3 linked regions of the Macaca fascicularis genome follow. The protein of the gene in region 1 interacts with the protein of each later gene in a pairwise test. Links are inferred from orthologs where the notes say so. Each region holds a gene or a part of one and is shown in the gene's direction. Other genes may lie near its edges.

Region 1 (5,858 bases):
GCTGAGGAAGCTGTAATCCAGAGAAGCCACGTGATTCGTCTAAGGTTACATAGCAGTCTGGCCTAAAATAGCTTGACATCCTGTGGACGGAAAATAAATGTGATCCCTCAAGAGGCATGAGGATTTCCAGGCAGTAGCTGTACCTCCAACTTGTTTAATCTGGATTTAGATGGTTGGGTAGTCACATGCAGCAGCACAGTTAACAGTGTATCCTTCTATGGAAGTTGCCAGCGCAGCCAGCCCTCTCACTTGCATGTATGCCCACTGCGTATGTGCTGTACTGGAGACGCCAGGGGCAGGGGCCCGGACCCAATCCCAAATTCTTTAAAGCCTATTTTTCTACGTTGCATCTGATTTCCTGCCTGAAGGAATGCTGAGGGTGGATGTCGAGTGAGGACCTTGGTGCAGGGCACCCTGCAGTCAGGATAGTTCACAGAGAGCAATTGCACAGACCCACACTGCTCCATCCCCTCAGGCAACAACACAGGATGCTGACCCCAGGAAGAGTGGGCGTAGAAAAACTGGAGGGCATTATTGTTATTCTGATTCAAATGTACGGTGCTGGCATGGTCTTTAAACAGTAACCAGTACTAGTTGGCCAAGACAGAAAAGTCTACCACAAATACTTGGTTCTTTCATCACTTATTTGACTGGAAGTGTTGCATCACCAATGCCTTCTTTAAGCAATGCCGTCTTTATCATTTCTTCCAGTGTTGTAATTGCACTGTTTTTTCTCATTCCTTCCCCAGGCTGGATGATAGACGCAGATAGTCGCCCAAAGTTCCGTGAGTTGATCATTGAATTCTCCAAAATGGCCCGAGACCCCCAGCGCTACCTTGTTATTCAGGTACAAATCGTAACCTGTCCTTCCATTGGGAAGAGTCCCTCTAATAAGCATCTCATGTCACTGTGCTCTGTCACATGCCAACCTGGCCTCCCTGTGTCCCAGATCGCATTATTAAACCCCCCAGCGCATTAGAGCAAGCCTCAGTTAAGGCGCAGGCCACATCGTGAACTAAGCAGGGTCCGTGAGTGGGGCCCACCCAACTCCACCTCCCCGTCCCCGTCTGAACTCTCCTCCCACACTCATCCTCACTGTCCAGCTAGCCAGAGCTTCAGCTGGGTCTAACAGAGAAGCATGGTCTATTGGCCTTGGTGTCAGGCAGACCTGGCTTCACACCCCTGACTCTCCACTTCGTCCCATCACCCAGGCAGCCGATCCACCTATCTCCTTCCATAACATGGGAATACCAAAACCAGGCTCACAGGATTGGTCTCAAAGATTTAATAAGATATGTTGCAAAATACACTCCCTAGTACCTCACAGCAAGGTGCACACTCGATGAACGCTGCAGCTTCTTCCCTGTTTCCTCAGAAGCTATTTGCATCTCATGTAGGGGCTTTCAAGCATCAAAGGATGGTTCATGTTTTATTTTAAGGCACCCACATGCCATGAGGGAGGCAGCTATAATTCAGAGAACTAAGGGGGATTTCATTATAAGAAAATTGGCAAACACACAGGCACCTGCTGGCAATAGAGCCCTGCTCCTATAGCCAAGAAGTGGAATAGCATCTCTATGGGCCATTCTAATAGCCTCAAAATCTCTGCACCAGGGGGATGAAAGAATGCATTTGCCAAGCCCTACAGACTCCAACTTCTACCGTGCCCTGATGGATGAAGAAGACATGGACGACGTGGTGGATGCCGACGAGTACCTCATCCCACAGCAAGGCTTCTTCAGCAGCCCCTCCACGTCACGGACTCCCCTCCTGAGCTCTCTGGTATGAAACCTCTGTCTCTCTCAAGCTGTCTCTCAAATTGAACAAAATGAATTTTAGGGAAAATAATAACCATCTAGTGAAACTCACACGGAGATGAAGTCAATTTTAACCAAATGGTAAAATCAAAATCAATTAAATAAGTGTATTACTTTGTTGCATTGCAACAACTTGATTGTAAGCCTTTTAGGTCCACTATGGAACAGAATTAAATCAAAACTAAACATAGTTGCTCTAAAACTAATGATTAAGACAAAAATTAAACACCTTCACAATATACCCTCCATGAAGCACACCACCTGCATTCAGGAAAAGTGGATGAGATACAGTACAATCATTCCATGGGCAACTTCTCTGTTTCTTTTTCAGAGTGCAACCAGCAACAATTCCACTGTGGCTTGCATTGATAGAAATGGGGTATGTATGAACACCTTATAAGCCAGCATTTACAGCTCTGCACTACGACTCTATTATACGTGGAAAATGCCTTAACCTAAATAATTTTAACCCAGATAATCTTGAGTTTTCTTCCTGTGTGGGTTTTTTCCTGCATGGCTGTCACGCCTCACAGTGCCATTCAAAGCGTGGCTCCTGGACCAGTAGCAGCATCACCTGGCAGCTTGTTAGAAATGCCATTTTTCAGGCCACCGCCCCAGATTAACCAAATCAGGACCTCTGGGGGTGGCACCCAGTAGTCTTTCTTTGAGCCACCTTCCAGGTGATGCTGATGCCTGTTGAAATGTGAGGCTCTGGTCTAGACCACATTGTGCCATGCAGAAACCACTAGCCACATGTGGCTACTTCAACTTAAATGTTAGTAAGTTAAAATGAAATGAAATATAAAATTCAGTTTCTCACACATGTGAAGTGTCCAGTAGCCACACGTGCCTAGTGGCGACCGTATTGAAGAGCACCGCTCATAGCATACCTCCCTCACTGCAGAAAGTTCTGCTGGACAGCACCCAGCACAGCCCCGCTGCCCGCCCTGCAGCCTGCGGCCCAGTAGCACGGGCACCCGCTAGGGTGCAGACTCTCAGGCCTGCCCGACCTACAAATCAGAACCTGCATCTCAAGGAGATTTCAGGTGATTTTTGCACACACTGAAGTTGGAGCAGCCCTGACTGGAGTAACCTTCCCTCATTTCCTCCTGCAGCTGCAAAGCTGTCCCATCAAGGAAGACAGCTTCTTACAGCGATACAGCTCAGACCCCACAGGCGCCTTGACTGAGGACAGCATAGACGACACCTTCCTCCCAGTGCCTGGTGAGTGGCTTGTCTGGAAACATTCCTGCTCCTCAGCCTCCTCGACCCACTCAGCAGCAGCCAGTCTCCACCACCCAGTGTCCAAGCCAGGTGCTCCCTCCAGCATCTCCAGAGGGGGAAACAGTGGCAGGCGTTTGCAGACACAGTGAAGGGCGTAAGGAGCAGATAAACACATGATGGAGGCTGCACAAGCTCCTTGTTGTGTCTGGGTTGTTTGCTGTACCTCTGTTTTAAGAATGAATCTGCAAAATTTCCAGATTATGAAACAAACGACAGACATACGTGTGTGTGTGAGTATGTGCATGATGTGTGTACATCTGTGTATGTGTATGTGTGTGTGTGACAGATTTGATCCCTGTTCTCTCTGCTGGCTCTATTCTTGACCTGTGAAACATATATTTAACTAATTAAATATTAGTTAATATTAATAAATTCTAAGCTTTATCCAGACACTCACAACCTGCTAACACACACACATATATACACACACATACACATACACACACATATACACACACCACACACATACACAGACCACACACACCATACACAGACACATACACATGCACACAAATATACACACACCACACACACCACACACACACATACATGTATACACACTTACACCACACATATACCACACACACCACAAAAACCCCCCACACATACACACACATATACACACAGACACCACACACACGTATACACACACATATATATACACACATACACACACCACACATACACACCACACACACCACACATACACACACACCACACAGACGTACACACGCCACACACATACACCACAGACATGTACACACACCACATACATGTATGTGTGCACACATACACACCCACACCACACACACACCACACATACATACACACATACCACACACCACAAAAACCCCACACACATACATATACACACCACACACACCACACATACACACACCACACATGTACACTTACCCACACCACAGACACACATGTACACACACCACATACACATATGTACACACACACCCACACCACACACAAACACATACCACACATACCCACATAGACACATACACACCACACACACCATACATACACATGTACACACACACCACATATACACACACATACACACCACACATGCACACACCACACACATACAAACATACACCACACACACAGCACACATACACACTCATATACACACAGCAGACACACATACCACATACACACCACACATACATGTACACATGCATGCACACACACACACACACACACACAGTCCTCAAAGCAGGCTATCCTCTGAGAACTTTAAATTTACAAAAGACACACGTGTCCATTACTTTGAGAAGTGCAGGAAAGAACCCACTTTCTTTTGCAGCAACAGCAAGAGGGTCCTCCCAAGGCTCCTGCTCCCTGTCATAAATCTCCCTGTTGAAGACATTCACAGGGTTCAGAACCCGGGGATCTTGCATGGGATGGTGCTTTGCTGATTACTTCACCTCTGATTTCTTTCCACTTTCAGAATACATAAACCAGTCTGTTCCCAAAAGGCCCGCTGGCTCTGTGCAGAATCCTGTCTATCACAATCAGCCTCTGAACCCTGCGCCCAGCAGAGACCCACACTACCAGGACCCCCACAGCACCGCAGTGGGCAACCCCGAGTATCTCAACACTGTCCAGCCCACCTGTGTCAACAGCACATTCGACAGCCCTGCTCATTGGGCCCAGAAAGGCAGCCACCAAATTAGCCTGGACAACCCTGACTACCAGCAGGACTTCTTTCCCAAGGAAGCCAAGCCAAATGGCATCTTTAAGGGCTCCACAGCTGAAAATGCAGAATACCTAAGGGTCGCACCACAAAGCAGTGAATTTATTGGAGCATGACCACGGAGGACAGCATGAGCCCTTAAAATCCAGACTCTGTCAATACCCAGGACCAAGCCACAGCGGGTCCTCCATCCCAACAGCCATGCCCGCATTAGCTCTTAGACCCACAGACTGGTTTCGCAACGTTTACACCGATCAGCCAGGAAGTACTTCCACCTCGGGCGCATTTTGGGAAGTTGCAGGTGCATTCCTTTGTCTTCAAACTGTGAAGCATTTACAGAAACGCATCCAGCAAGAATATTGTCCCTTTGAGCAGAAGTTTATCCTTCAAGGAAGTATATTTGAAAAAAAAAAAAAAAGTATATGTCAGGATTTTTATTGATTGGGGATCTTGGAGTTTTTCATTGTCACTATTCATTTTTACTTCCGTGGGCTCTTCCAACAAAGAAGAAGCTTGCTGGTAGCACTTGCCACCCTGAGTTCATCCAGGCCCAACTGTGAGCAAGGAGCACAGGCCACAAGTCTTCCAGTGGACGCTTGATTCCAGTGGTTGTGCTTCAAGGCTTCCACTGCAAAACACTAAAGATCCAAGAAGCCCTTCATGGCCCCAGCAGGCCGGATCGGTACTGTATCAAGTCATGGCAGGTACAATAGGATAAGCCACTCTGTCCCTTCCTGGGCAAAAAAGAAATGGAGGGGATAGAATTCTTCCTTAGACTTACTTTTGTAAAAATGTCCCCACGGTACTTACTCCCCACTGGTTGACTAGTGGTTTCCAGTCGTGAGCGTTAGACTGACTTGTTTGTCTTCCATTCCATTGTTTTGAAACTCAGTATGCTGCTCCTGTCTTGCTGTCATGGAATCAGCAAGAGAGGATGACACATCAAATAATAACTCGGATTCCAGCCCACATTGGATTCATCGGCATTCAGACCAATAGCCCACAGCTGAGAATGTGGAATACCTAAGGATAGCACCGCTTTT
Region 2 (5,858 bases), on another chromosome or scaffold:
TATGCGCTTATCTGGCCAGCAACTTTGTACCAAGGCTTGCTGTCACAGGGACCTGCCGCTCTCAGTGCTTTCAGGTCATTATACTTTCCTGTGAAAGTATGCTAGCTGACATATGCTTACAGGAGTCACAGTTTTCTTACGGGTTTGGTTTAAGTGAGAGATCAACTCAGATTTTTGGGACATACCCACCCACACAGTGAAAATCGAGCAGTTTGTTTCATGATTCACATTGACATACATTCAGTGGGTCACTAAACAGGCACCTCTTTTTGAATTTTATTCTACCTCTGCAAAAATAACATGATCAAAACATGCTAAATGACTCATTTTTGAACATGAGACTCTAAGGAGAAAAAGAAAACTAAAACTTGAAACTTTCACAGTGTGTTTTCCTTTCCACCTATAAAATATCACCCCTTCTACATAGTCCTGTAGTTTGGGTACCGTAAGAAACCGTGATTGTAAAAACCTCACATCTTTTCAGAAGCAGTTTCTTTTTGAATCATGCTCTTTTAAACTTTAATTTTTAAAATTAAAATTAAATGTGTAAACATTTCCCAAAGTGTGTTCTTTATAATATTAGATCTACACAATGCTGGTGGGTGTTACTTCAGAATGCTTCAGAGTGGTTCTGATCACGACTGAACATGATTAGTGGAAAAGATTCTTTATGACAGAGCTCCTCAGAGACTTGGCTCTCAATGTTCCCAAAGTATGTTGTGAGTCTTCAAGAGGGGGCTGTAGCAAGTCGTTCTCAGTGGCTTCTTTAAAGTATGGAAGACTCTTTTCAAGGTGCTTTGCGTAAGCCTAATGTTCTGAGGAATATACGTGGGGAAACTAATTCCTAGGACCGATTACACTTTTGGGGGCCGTAGTTTAAGTGTCAACATGTGAAAAGGACTGTCTGGCATTTTTTTGTCACTTTTTGGATTCTTAGGAACTTTTTTCTTTCACTTATCGTCTCTTTGGCTTTTATCTTACCGAAGCAAGTGATTTTTAATACATAAGTAATACTTTTAAGTCTGATGTAAACCAGGTGATGTTTATGGGGTGGATGAGAACAACACTGATTTGACATTTGGGAGGTTTGGGAAGTGCCAGGAATTAGTAGTAGACTGAAATTGATTTTAACATTTTATCCTATCCTTCCTTTAGCTTAAAGACTTCACCTGTTCACCCCACTAAAATGTATAGGTTCTCTCCTTTTTCTCTGAACCAGAAAAAGAAAATTTTAGCTTACCTGAAAATAATCACAGAGCTGAACTCCTTAACCAGATATATTTTCAAGATGTTACACAGGCTAATTGTGACTGCAGGATCTTTTAATCATTCAGTTTAGTTTCTTACCTTTTGTTTTTTGAAGAATTTAGAAATCCTTCTCTTTACCTATATGTCAAAGCTCTCTCTTAATCATATATTAAGACTTAATACAGAATTTATCATAATTGTTTCCATTTAATTTACCTGATAAAACTTGACAGAAATACCTAAATGAGAAATACCATGTGATGTTTCATAGGGTCTAGTATAAATAAGTATTTGTGCTCACATTTGTAAGTAGATGTTGTTTAAGAAATGTTTTGGGTTTCTTTTTTTGTATTAGGAAAAGAATGAAAGATATCTTCTACTCTTCCCAAATGTTTTGCTGATGTTGTCTGCCAGTCCTAGGATGAGTGGCTTTATCTATCAGGTAAAACACCATCTAAATTTATATTTTATTGTGGATCTGAGGATAATTTCAAGCTGACTTTGAATTTTGTGTTAAATATTACATGTATCTGTGTATGTGCTGTGTGTGTAATGCCGTATGTTCAGATATGGATGTACGGCTCCTGTTTATGTTTCGCTGTGACTATGCAAGCATATCCTATGTTCATTTTAAAAAAGGAAAGAAGTGTAAATGTAGAGCAACTTCATAAGGACACAGATGACTGTGGCACAAGTCAGCCTCTGTCATTGCCTTCTGTCATTTCATGCAAAATACCTTGCTGCTCCTTGCTATAGTTTTGTTCTGTGAAATGGGTTCAGCTAGGGCTTGTGGGTTAGTGGGGTAGTGTAGACTAAGGTCTTGTGTCAGTGGCACAGCACTGCCCAAATGCATCAGCAAATAGAAAGTGATGTACGTATGTAAGTAGCAGTGTGTGATTGTTGAACCTTTTTAATTTTTGTTTCCCTGCTTTTCTTGGAGAAAATGTGACAGCGGATTTGAGAAGGAGGTGCAAGGGTGAGCAGGGCCTTCTCTGTTATGACAGTGGTTTATAGTGGTGGTATGTGAAGGAGCTGGTATTTTTGCTGTCTAGTAGATGCACTTGGCAGGTTTCATTCTTTTTTTTCTGTGAAGTAATAGAGGCTCATATCCTTCCCATCAACTTTCTGAGGACTGGCCAGTCACCACATAACCACTGCAGCAGAAGCCACCACTTCGTGTTCCCTGGGTTGCGTTTCATTGTAGCATGTGTTGTTTTGTGTCGTCCCAGCAAGGGCGTTAGAGAGCCCTAAGCAGACACTGTGCCTTCACAGAGGCTTTGTCGACCACCCAGAGAGGACTTGTCGTCATACGCTTACTCTAAAACGGGTGCTTTAGAATTGATGAATCACATATATAGGAAAAGACTCAGGAAAATAAGGCTGTAGTTTGTAAGGCCACTGCTGAAGAGAGGTGATCTGTGGCTAAGGTGGTGCCCACTAGAGTTTTCCAATAAACTAGCAGCTACTTCTTTGTTAAATGACCTTGATAAACCTAAATCTCTGTCCTTTCTGGTCAGCACTATCTGGCTTCCTATTTTATATCCCCAGAGTCTCATTCCAGTGGCTGGAGACAGGAGCCTTCTCTAGCCTAAGGGAGAAGAGGTTGCCACTCGTGGCAGGCTTGAGTCTCTGCCTGTGGGACTGGGGCTCACACTGGCTTTACCCTTGACGTGCTGACAGACTGCTGGGGCTCATCTCAACGACAGGATTCTATTTTTCAGTTCTTAGTACAGTGGTGAGCCATGGTCTCTGTATCGTCAGTCTTCATTTCTACCATTGGAACACTGGCTTTGGGGGATGCTAAAAAGTGTTCGATCCAGCCACAGCCACAGTGCTCTGTACACCGATGTTCCGGTGGGCTAGGTTAAACACAGTTGTGCAGTTTCATTTTCTGTAGCACTCACAGCTGTTAAAGTACTTACATGCATTGTGAATCTTGGAAAGGAGTTCACAGTGTGTAGCATTTTTAAAATACGCTTGGCCACAGAAGTGTCCAGCAGTCTCCTCTTCCACCTGCCGTGCTTTAGGATGAGATTTCTCCACCTGGGCACTGCTGACGTTTTGGACTGGATCATTCATGGCCCGGGGCTGAGGGCTCAGTGAGACTGTCCTGGGTACTGTGGGGTATAGGCAGCCTCTCTGGCCCTTACTTGCTGGATGTCTGAGCCCCTGCCAGGTTGTGGCACTGCCACCCATTCTCTGTGGGGGCACGTTCCCCACACCCGTTGAGCAGCACTCCCACTGGAGGTGCTCATGCAGAATCTCGCTCCGCAGCTGATGGAGTGCTCCCCAGGCAGCACGACCCAGATGCCACTGCCTCTTCCTGAGGACTTGGTGGGCCACCGTGTACTGTAGTTTCTGTCAGCTGCGCCAGACTGTTTTGTGTTCACTTCTGATTTGTTTGTAATGATCACTTTGTACCCCGTTTCTGGTATCTTTTCCATTGACATTTCCTGTTGCAGTTACTGATTTCTTCCATTTTCAGGGAGCATTGGTTTGCCAACCATTTTCTGCATTGTGTGCAGCATTTAGCACAACTACTTATTTTCTGTTTGGTGGATTATAAAGTAGAATGTTAGGCAATTCTTGTTCTTGCCTCAATTTCCCACCCTTATTTTGACTTTAAACTTGGAGCTTCCTCTGTATTTCTTTATGAGGCAAATACATGCTGCTTTTCTGCAAAAACATCGTTTAAAACAACTGTTACACGTGGTAGTTTTTAAAAAATCATAATGTGAGATTTTTTGTCCTGGTGTCTGTTTAGTAGCAGCTCATCAGATGCAGTGTGTGTTTGGGCTTGTCAGTCTGTCCCTTGTCGCCAGTTGAGTTTCTTGCTTACAGTATAGTATTAATATGATTTATTATTTGAGATAAAGATTTTTGTATTATACATGCATCTGCTACAAACGAACTCTTTTTGGTTCACAAACACAGTTCCTCCACCAATTCTAAAATCATTTAATATTACTTTAATAATGGTACCTTTTTCTAGAAAAGCACTAATTGTTTTTTTTTTGTGGGGGGGTCTTTTTTAGGGAAAGCTTCCAACGACAGGAATGACAATCACAAAGCTTGAGGACAGTGAAAACCATAGAAATGCATTTGAAATATCAGGTGATAGGCACAAGCTGTGTGAGTGCCGTGTCTCGGGGAGGAGAGGCAGCTTGTCCCCGCGTGCAGATTCTTGCTTGCATATTTCAGAAGGTGGTGTTTAAGCGTTGAGTGGAATTCTGGGGGCTGTGTGTGCATGCACGCGCTTTTTACCTGTGTTTCCACTCGGCCTATTTTTTCCTTCTCTCCTCTAGGGAGCATGATCGAGCGGATATTAGTGTCATGCAACAACCAGCAGGATCTGCAGGAATGGGTGGACCACCTACAGAAGCAAACGAAGGTCACATCTGTGGGAAACCCCACCATAAAGCCTCATTCGGTGCCGTCTCATACCGTAAGGACCTGGCGCTTCTTCTCCTTCCAGACTCCAGGCGTGGCATCCCGTGGCTGAGCTGTCAGCAAGTGATCACGTGCTTTAAAACCTGATCAATATTGGGATAAAAATGCAAACGCTTGCTTGATATTTCTCTGAAAATATTTGGCCCTCTTTGTGCAGTAGTGAATTGTTTTCCAATGAGTGTTCTCGAGAAACAACCCTGAATTGTGCCTCCTCACGCACAATTCAGAGGTGCTTGGGTGGGAAGCTGCTTTTGCTCAGCGTGGCCTTAGAAGACTAATTTAGGGGAGTTTTACACTAAACTATAGATGATTTTTCTGAGAATTTTAACTGTTTATTATGCTTCATTTAAGAAAACGAAAATAAATGATTATGATGATGAAAAGGGCCAGATTCATGTTGAAGGCATTAAAATAGAGTTTATGACACACTGTTGATTTTAAGAAATTGAGGTGTCTTTTACTTAGAAAAGCTCAGCAACTCTTTGAATTTTTAGAGAATTACAACTTTTCAAAATAGATGAACACTGAATTCGGTTGCAGTGTTTAAACCTCTCCTGGTGTTTTTTGCTCAAGAAGTTGGTATCGGGTTGTTTTAACAGTCGTCATCTTTATCAAGTAATACCGAAAAACTGGGCAGAGCTTTTAAAGAATGAGTGGCGATGACACGGCATTTTCAGCTTGCAGATTCCCTCACATCCTTACTAGGTTATTAGGATCAGTTCTGTCGTGTGCTCAGTTTTCATGTTTTCTTCTTCATGGGAAGGTTGTAGATCAAGAAGGATTGCTGTATTCTGATATTCTCATCAGTTTCAGAGTCCATCTGATTTCTCTCAGCAGTGTGCAGATAACTACTCATTGGCTTTTAGCTAGCATTTCATCTTTAATGGCTCTGCCGTTTTAAAATTCTCCATTCTTTCGTGGAGATCAGTTTATCCCAGCGACATGTGTACACGTGTGTTTATAAAGAACAGTGGATGAGCTGCTTCACTCAGATTTTCAACAGCAGCCTGAAACTCTACTTCATACAATTTTACATCAAGTCAGCTTTTCTCTGCGGCCAGACCCTCCGTCTTAGTGTTTCTTTCACTGGTGGCGGGGAAGGCACTGTGCCTCATGTTTAAAATGTTCTGCGTTCTCCTACAGAGTTTCTTTTGTGGGAT
Region 3 (6,317 bases), on another chromosome or scaffold:
GGCTTTGTGTCTTCTCAGAGCTCTCGGAGCAGATTCAGAGGGCCCTGCAGCTGGAGGAGGAGAGGAAGCGGGCGCAGGAGGAGGCTGAGCGCCTAGAGGCTGACCGCATGGCCGCGCTGCGGGCTAAGGAGGAGCTGGAGAGACAGGCGGTGGATCAGATAAAGAGCCAGGAGCAGCTGGTAGGAATGGCCTGAGTTTCAAGATGCTGAATTATAGAGAGGCTGCTTCTGAGGACGGAAAATGTGACACCTGCCTTGTAATAATTGTCATGACTGGAAGCTGTAAGCTGATCTGCTGGGGAATGAAGCAGCTGGCGGGGAAGGGGCCGGGCTGTTGCCAGGGTCACCCGTTGAAGGTGGGTGTGGGCATCCAGGAAGTGATGGTAGGGAGGGTGCACGATGAACCCTGCTAGCCATGAAGTGGGGGTGACGGGGACTCAGATGTCACAGTGGAGGCTGCTCACCAACACACATTAACACTCATTCACAACTGGACTCTTGAAAGGATATCAGAAGTCACTTTAGCTTGGCATTCCCTTCCCAGGCTGCGGAGCTTGCAGAATACACTGCCAAGATTGCCCTCCTGGAAGAGGCGCGGAGGCGCAAGGAGGATGAGGTTGAAGAGTGGCAGCACAGGGTGAGTCTGCATGGGGGAAGCCGCACGGCCACGGCACCTGTTGCCCACTGCCTGGGCAGTGGGCCCTTCTGCAGGTGGGTGGGTTGGGGGAGAGGTTTGGCTCAGCTGCCATGTCCTACTGGAAGCTTCTGGGAGTCTCACGATCCTCTGCCGATACCAGTTGTATTACTGAAGTAGACATCCCCGGCCGGGCGCGGTGGCTCAAGCCTGTAATCCCAGCACTTTGGGAGGCCGAGGCGGGCGGATCACAAGGTCAGGAGATCGAGACCACAGTGAAACCCCGTCTCTACTAAAAATACAAAAAATTAGCCGGGCACGGTGGCGGGCACCTGTAGTCCCAGCTACTCAGGAGGCTGAGGCAGGAGAATGGCGGGAACCCGGGAGGCGGAGCTTGCAGTGAGCCGAGATCGCGCCACTGCACTCCAGCCTGGGCAACAGCGTGAGACTCCGTCTCAAAAAAAAAAAAAAAAAAAAAAAAAGACATCCCCAAAGAGATGGGTTTGACTTTGTACTTGAGTCATTGCAGCTGCTGGATTCATAGAGGGAGGACTTCTGATTGACTTTCACGACCTTGCTCCCTCCACCCCAAACTGTTCAGTGCTGATCTGACAGCCTCCTCTGACAGCTGATCTGAATTGGTTTTAAATCTGATTATATATGTGCACCTTGCAATGGGGTCGCAGTGCCTGAAACACAACCTCCTGCAGCTGGTATATATAGCGGGCACCATGAAAAGATCCAGGTCCTTGGAATTCTCTCGGCTGGAGCAAGAGCCGGGCTCTGCTGCCCATCAGCTATCTGACGGGGAGCTAGTAGCATCACCTCTCCCAGCCTCATTTTCCTTATTGTAGAATGGGGGTGATACCCAACTCATAAAGTTGCTCTGCAGATGTGAGGTCCCATGCCCAGGACCTGGCAAACAGAGGTTTAATCAGCTGTAGCTGTCACTGTGAGACGCACACAGAGCTTCTCTCTGGGAGAGAGAAGCTGGGATCCCCTCTGCCCTCCAGGAAGGCACAGCCCCTGAGAAAGTCTGGGGATGGTTCCCATTGGAGACTGCACACCAGGCTTTAAGAAGCTCTTCTCCTTCACAGATCCTCTGGCCTGTCCTTCCCCCACTGTGGCTTCTCCATCTGTGGTGGTGCCTTCTGGGGACGTGTCTCCTGGCTCTCCAGGGCCACTTCTGGCCAGTGCCTCCTTGCCTTTGTTCCAGCCCCCATTCCTGCTGCCGATCTGTATTAGTCTGTTCTCACACGGCTGTAAAGAACTACCTGAGACTGGGTAGTTAAAGAAGAGGTTTAATTGACTCACAGTCCCACATGACTGGGGAGGCCTCAGGAAGTTTACAGTCATGGCAGAAGGTGAAGGGGAAGCAGGCACACCTCTTACGTGAGGGCAGAAGAGAGAAAAGCAAAGGGGGGTGGTGCCAAACACTGAAACCATCAGCTCTCACTCAGAACCCACCCACTAGCACGAGAACAGCATAGGGGAAACCACCCCACGATCCAGTCACTCCCACCAGGTAAACCCCCCCCCCCCCGACATGTGGGGATTACAGTTGGAGATGAGCTTTGGGTGGGGACACAGCCATATCACCATCCGAAGTTGCAAGCAGAAGACTTTGGTTCTTAGGTTTTTGAGAAAGTACCTGTTAAGAGGTAAGTGAGGAGAGCTGGCTCCAGCGCAGATCCACACTAAGCTCGACTCCAGGGCTGGGATGGAGGCGGGCAGGACTGGGCATGTGTGACGCTGTTGGAAGGACTGCAAGTGGTGAGCAGGAGACCACTTGATAATGACCGTGGCATGAGGGGAGGCTGGGAACAGAGCCTGTTACTCATTTAACAGGATTTTTTTTCCTAAAAATTATATAACGTCTAGAGTTATAGACAGAAAAAAAAAAGAAATGGTAGTTTTAAAACTGCCCAGGCTCCGGCATCACAGTTCCTCTTCCTGTCTTGGATGCAGAGGGTTGTCAACCCCACATGCACTTTGAGGGGCTCTTCTTCGAAGCCATGGCCCAGCACGGTTTAGTGCTGCCTTAGCGTGCCAGGACAGAGGGAGGCAACAGTTGGTTCTTATAGCCAGGAGGATAGGACTTTTGGGTGAGAAGTTCTCACCTACTAATTTTGCTTTCCAAAGGCCAAAGAAGCCCAGGATGACCTGGTGAAGACCAAGGAGGAGCTACACCTGGTGATGACGGCACCCCCGCCCCCGCCACCCCCCATGTACGAGCCACTGAGCTACCATGTCCAGGAGAGCTTGCAGGATGAGGGTGCGGAGCCCACGGGCTACAGTGCAGAGCTGTCTAGTGAGGGCATCCGGGATGACCGCAATGAGGAGAAGCGTATCACTGAGGCGGAGAAGAATGAGCGTGTGCAGCGGCAGCTGCTGGTGAGGCCCAAGGGGCTGTGTGTCTCTAGGGGGCCCGCCTTGCTCTTGCAGCAGACAGGCTTGGGGAAGGCAGTGATGTGAGCCAGCCCCACCTAGCACCCCTCTTGCCCTTCCCATTTTCCTAGGGGAGGGGCTGGGCCATATGGGGAGGAAGGGACCTGACCAATGCTGCTTAATGTTGCAGACGCTGAGCAGCGAGCTGTCCCAGGCCCGAGATGAGAATAAGAGGACCCACAATGACATCATCCACAACGAGAACATGAGGCAAGGCCGGGACAAGTACAAGACGCTGCGGCAGATCCGGCAGGGCAACACCAAGCAGCGCATCGACGAGTTCGAGGCCCTGTAATGGCCAGGCCAGGACCAAGGGCAGAGGGGCGCTCACAGCGGGCGCTGCCGCCGGCGCTGCCAGCCTCGCCACGCTTGTGTCTTTAGTGCTCCGAGTCTAGGAACTCCAAAAGCCCAGTTCCTTTAAAAAGCAGTTACCCAACAGAAACATTCTGGGTTGGGAACCAGGGAGGCGCCCTGGTTGGTTTTCCCCAGTTGTATCATAGTGCCAAGCAGGCCTGATTCTTGCGATTATTCTCAAATCACCTCCTGTGTTGTGCTGGGAGCAGGACTGATTAAATTACGGAAAATGCCTGTAAAGTCTGAGTAAGAAACTTCATGCTGGCCTGTGTGATACGAGAGTCAGCATCGTTAAAGGAAACCGCGGCTTCCATCTGTGCCATACTTGTTCTGTATTTGAAATGAGCTCAAATTGGTTTTTGTTTTTAATTTCTATGAAGGATCCATCTTTGTATATTTACATGCTTTGAGGGGTGAAAATTTTTTTGGGAAATTGAGTTTGAAGCACTCTGGCACATACACACACAATGATTCCCTCCTTCCGTCACTCCACGCAGCTGGCAGAGAGCAGTGATCACCAGCGTGAGTGGTGTATGTAGGACACTTGGATAAATTTTTTTTAGGTTTTTTTTAGGTTTTTTTTAGGTTTTTTTGCTTAACAGTTAGAATACATTGTTGTACTTATACACCTTATTAATGATCAGCTATATAGTATTTATATACAAGTGATAATACAGATTTGTAACATTAGTTTTAAAAAGGGAAAGTTTTGTTCTGTATATTTTGTTACCTTTTACAGAATAAAAGAATTACATATGAAAAACCCTCTAACCATGGCACTTGATGTGATGTGGCAGGAGGGCAGTGGTGAAGCTGGTTACCTGCCTGCTGCAGTCACGTGTAAACAGGATTTTTATTGTTAGTGTTTTATGCATATAATGGACTATGCACATTTTTAATTTTGTCAAATACACACATGCCACTATGACCTTTCAGACTCCAGCCATGGAGAGACTGTTTGCTTGTGTTTGTTTGTAGTCTCTGCCATGGCCTTGGCAGGCTGCTGGAAGGCAGCTTGTGGAGGCCATTGGTTCTGCCCACTCGTTCCTTCTCGTGCACTGCTTACTCCTTCGCAGCTAAGATGCCATGTGCAGGTGGATTCCATGCTGCAGACATGAAATAAAAGCTTTGCAAAGGCACGAAGCAGCATGGCTGTGTACTTGTGTGTGGGGTGGGAGGGCCACCGCCGACTTGCCTGGGCTCTATGCTGTCCTCCGGCTGGGTTTTGTGAGGGGCCATGGTGTCCCTGGGGATACACTGGTAAGTTAGAGCTGACCAACCCAAGACATGGTGCTCCGTAGGTCACCTAACCTCCTCTGGAGACAGTTTCCATGGGAGAGGACACTCCAACTCACCAGGCTCCTCTAAAATGCTGCTCACCGCCGGGTGCGGTGGCTCATGCCTGTAATCCCAGCACTTCGGGAGGCCGAGGCAGGCGGTTCACAAGGTCAGGAGATGGAGACCATCCTGGCCAACATGGTGAAAGGCCGTCTACTAAAAATACAAAAATTAGGTGTGGTGGCGCATGCCTGTAATCCCAGCTACTTGGGAGGCTGAGGCAGGAGAATTGCTAGGACCCAGGAGTTGGAGGTTGCAGCGAGCTGAGATTGTGCCACTGCACTTCAGCCTGGCGACACAGGGAGACTCCATCTCAAAAAAATAAAATGCTCCTTTAAGCTGTGACTTTTTTTTTTTTTTTTTTTTGAGACAGGGTCTTCCTTTGGCCCAGGCTGGAGCACAGTTGTGTAGTCAGGGCTTACTGCAGCCTCAACCTCCTGTTCTCTATCCTCCTGGCTCAGCCTCCTGAGTAGCTGGGACTACAGGTGTGCACCACCACACCCGGATAATTTTTTGGGTTTTTTTGTGGTGGAGTCTCGCTCTGTCACCCAGGCTGGAGTGCAGTGGCCGGATCTCAGCTCACTACAAGCTCCGCCTCCCGGGTTCACGCCATTCTCCTGCCTCAGCCTCCCGAGTAGCTGGGACTACAGGCGCCCACCACCTCGCCCGGCTAGTTTTTTGTATTTTTTAGTAGAGACAGGGTTTCACCGGGTTAGCCAGGATGGTCTCAATCTCCTGACCTTGTGATCCCCCTGCCTCAGCCTCCCAAACTGGGATTACAGGCTTGAGCCACCGCGCCCGGCCAATTTTTTGTTTTTTCTGTAGACAGGGTATCTCTGTGTTTCCTGGGCTGATTTCACACTCCTGAGCTCAAGCCATCCACTGCAGCCTCCCAAAGTTGCTGAGATTACAGGTGGGGAGCCACCGTGCCCACCAGCCGGCCTTTTACCATTTGATAAGCACTGGAGGATGCCGGTAACAACATTTATTGAAATCTGGCCATTTTCTCCATCGCGGAGATAACCCACCAGAGGCTTAGGTAACATACATTATTGTGTTTAACTTAAATATACAGATACCAGTAGGCATTTAAGCCACGGGACAGGACTGCAGATGGAGACTGCTCAAGGTCCAAAGGGTCTCCAGCTGGGACCCTGCCCCTGGTTTGCAGCCCCACTCTGCAGACGCACAGTGCTTCACACCCACTGCGACCTGGAACCTCGAGGCCTTCGCATCAGTGCAGGACAAGGGTCATGTCTGTCCATAGATTGGGGCTGGAAAGGACTTTTTGCCACTGGAGCTTCGATTGTGAGCATGCATCCCCGCCACCAGCTGTGTCTCCCTCTGTAAGAGAGGATGACAGCTTAGCCATGGTCAGGGAGGGCACCACTTCATCCCCTCTCAGCTCTTTGAAAATGACCAGCCAGAAAAGTTTTTCACCTTCAGTCCACACTAAAAGGCCAACCACCACTACCCCCACCCCAACAAAGCTAGTGTGGAGACGGGTTAACCCAGGCACTCTGCTCTGCGAGACTCTTAACAGC

Evidence for each region.
Region 2: the proteins of EGFR (region 1) and ARHGEF7 interact in a protein complementation assay, tested with the Homo sapiens proteins (3 studies listed by BioGRID and IntAct, with this or other methods). The link is inferred for Macaca fascicularis from reciprocal best matches to the Homo sapiens genes EGFR and ARHGEF7.
Region 3: the proteins of EGFR (region 1) and EZR interact in binary tests that used the Homo sapiens proteins (3 or more experiments, as listed by UniProt). The link is inferred for Macaca fascicularis from reciprocal best matches to the Homo sapiens genes EGFR and EZR.

The regions. Positions count from the first base shown.
Region 1 is NC_088377.1:75,199,414-75,205,271, reverse strand, and holds part of EGFR (epidermal growth factor receptor), read left to right. Parts: intron 1-749; coding exon 750-847; intron 848-1,614; coding exon 1,615-1,782; intron 1,783-2,148; coding exon 2,149-2,196; intron 2,197-2,932; coding exon 2,933-3,041; intron 3,042-4,569; coding exon 4,570-4,931; 3' UTR 4,932-5,858. UniProt on the Homo sapiens protein: Receptor tyrosine kinase binding ligands of the EGF family and activating several signaling cascades to convert extracellular cues into appropriate cellular responses.
Region 2 is NC_088391.1:101,798,893-101,804,750, forward strand, and holds part of ARHGEF7 (rho guanine nucleotide exchange factor 7), read left to right. Parts: intron 1-1,603; coding exon 1,604-1,690; intron 1,691-4,283; coding exon 4,284-4,452; intron 4,453-4,553; coding exon 4,554-4,693; intron 4,694-5,858. UniProt on the Homo sapiens protein: Acts as a RAC1 guanine nucleotide exchange factor (GEF) and can induce membrane ruffling. Functions in cell migration, attachment and cell spreading. Promotes targeting of RAC1 to focal adhesions. May function as a positive regulator of apoptosis.
Region 3 is NC_088378.1:67,100,583-67,106,899, reverse strand, and holds the end of EZR (ezrin), read left to right. Parts: intron 1-18; coding exon 19-179; intron 180-543; coding exon 544-636; intron 637-2,775; coding exon 2,776-3,027; intron 3,028-3,211; coding exon 3,212-3,376; 3' UTR 3,377-4,574; downstream 4,575-6,317. Other genes in the region: SYTL3 (synaptotagmin-like protein 3), read right to left, coding at 6,008-6,117. UniProt on the Homo sapiens protein: Probably involved in connections of major cytoskeletal structures to the plasma membrane. In epithelial cells, required for the formation of microvilli and membrane ruffles on the apical pole. Along with PLEKHG6, required for normal macropinocytosis.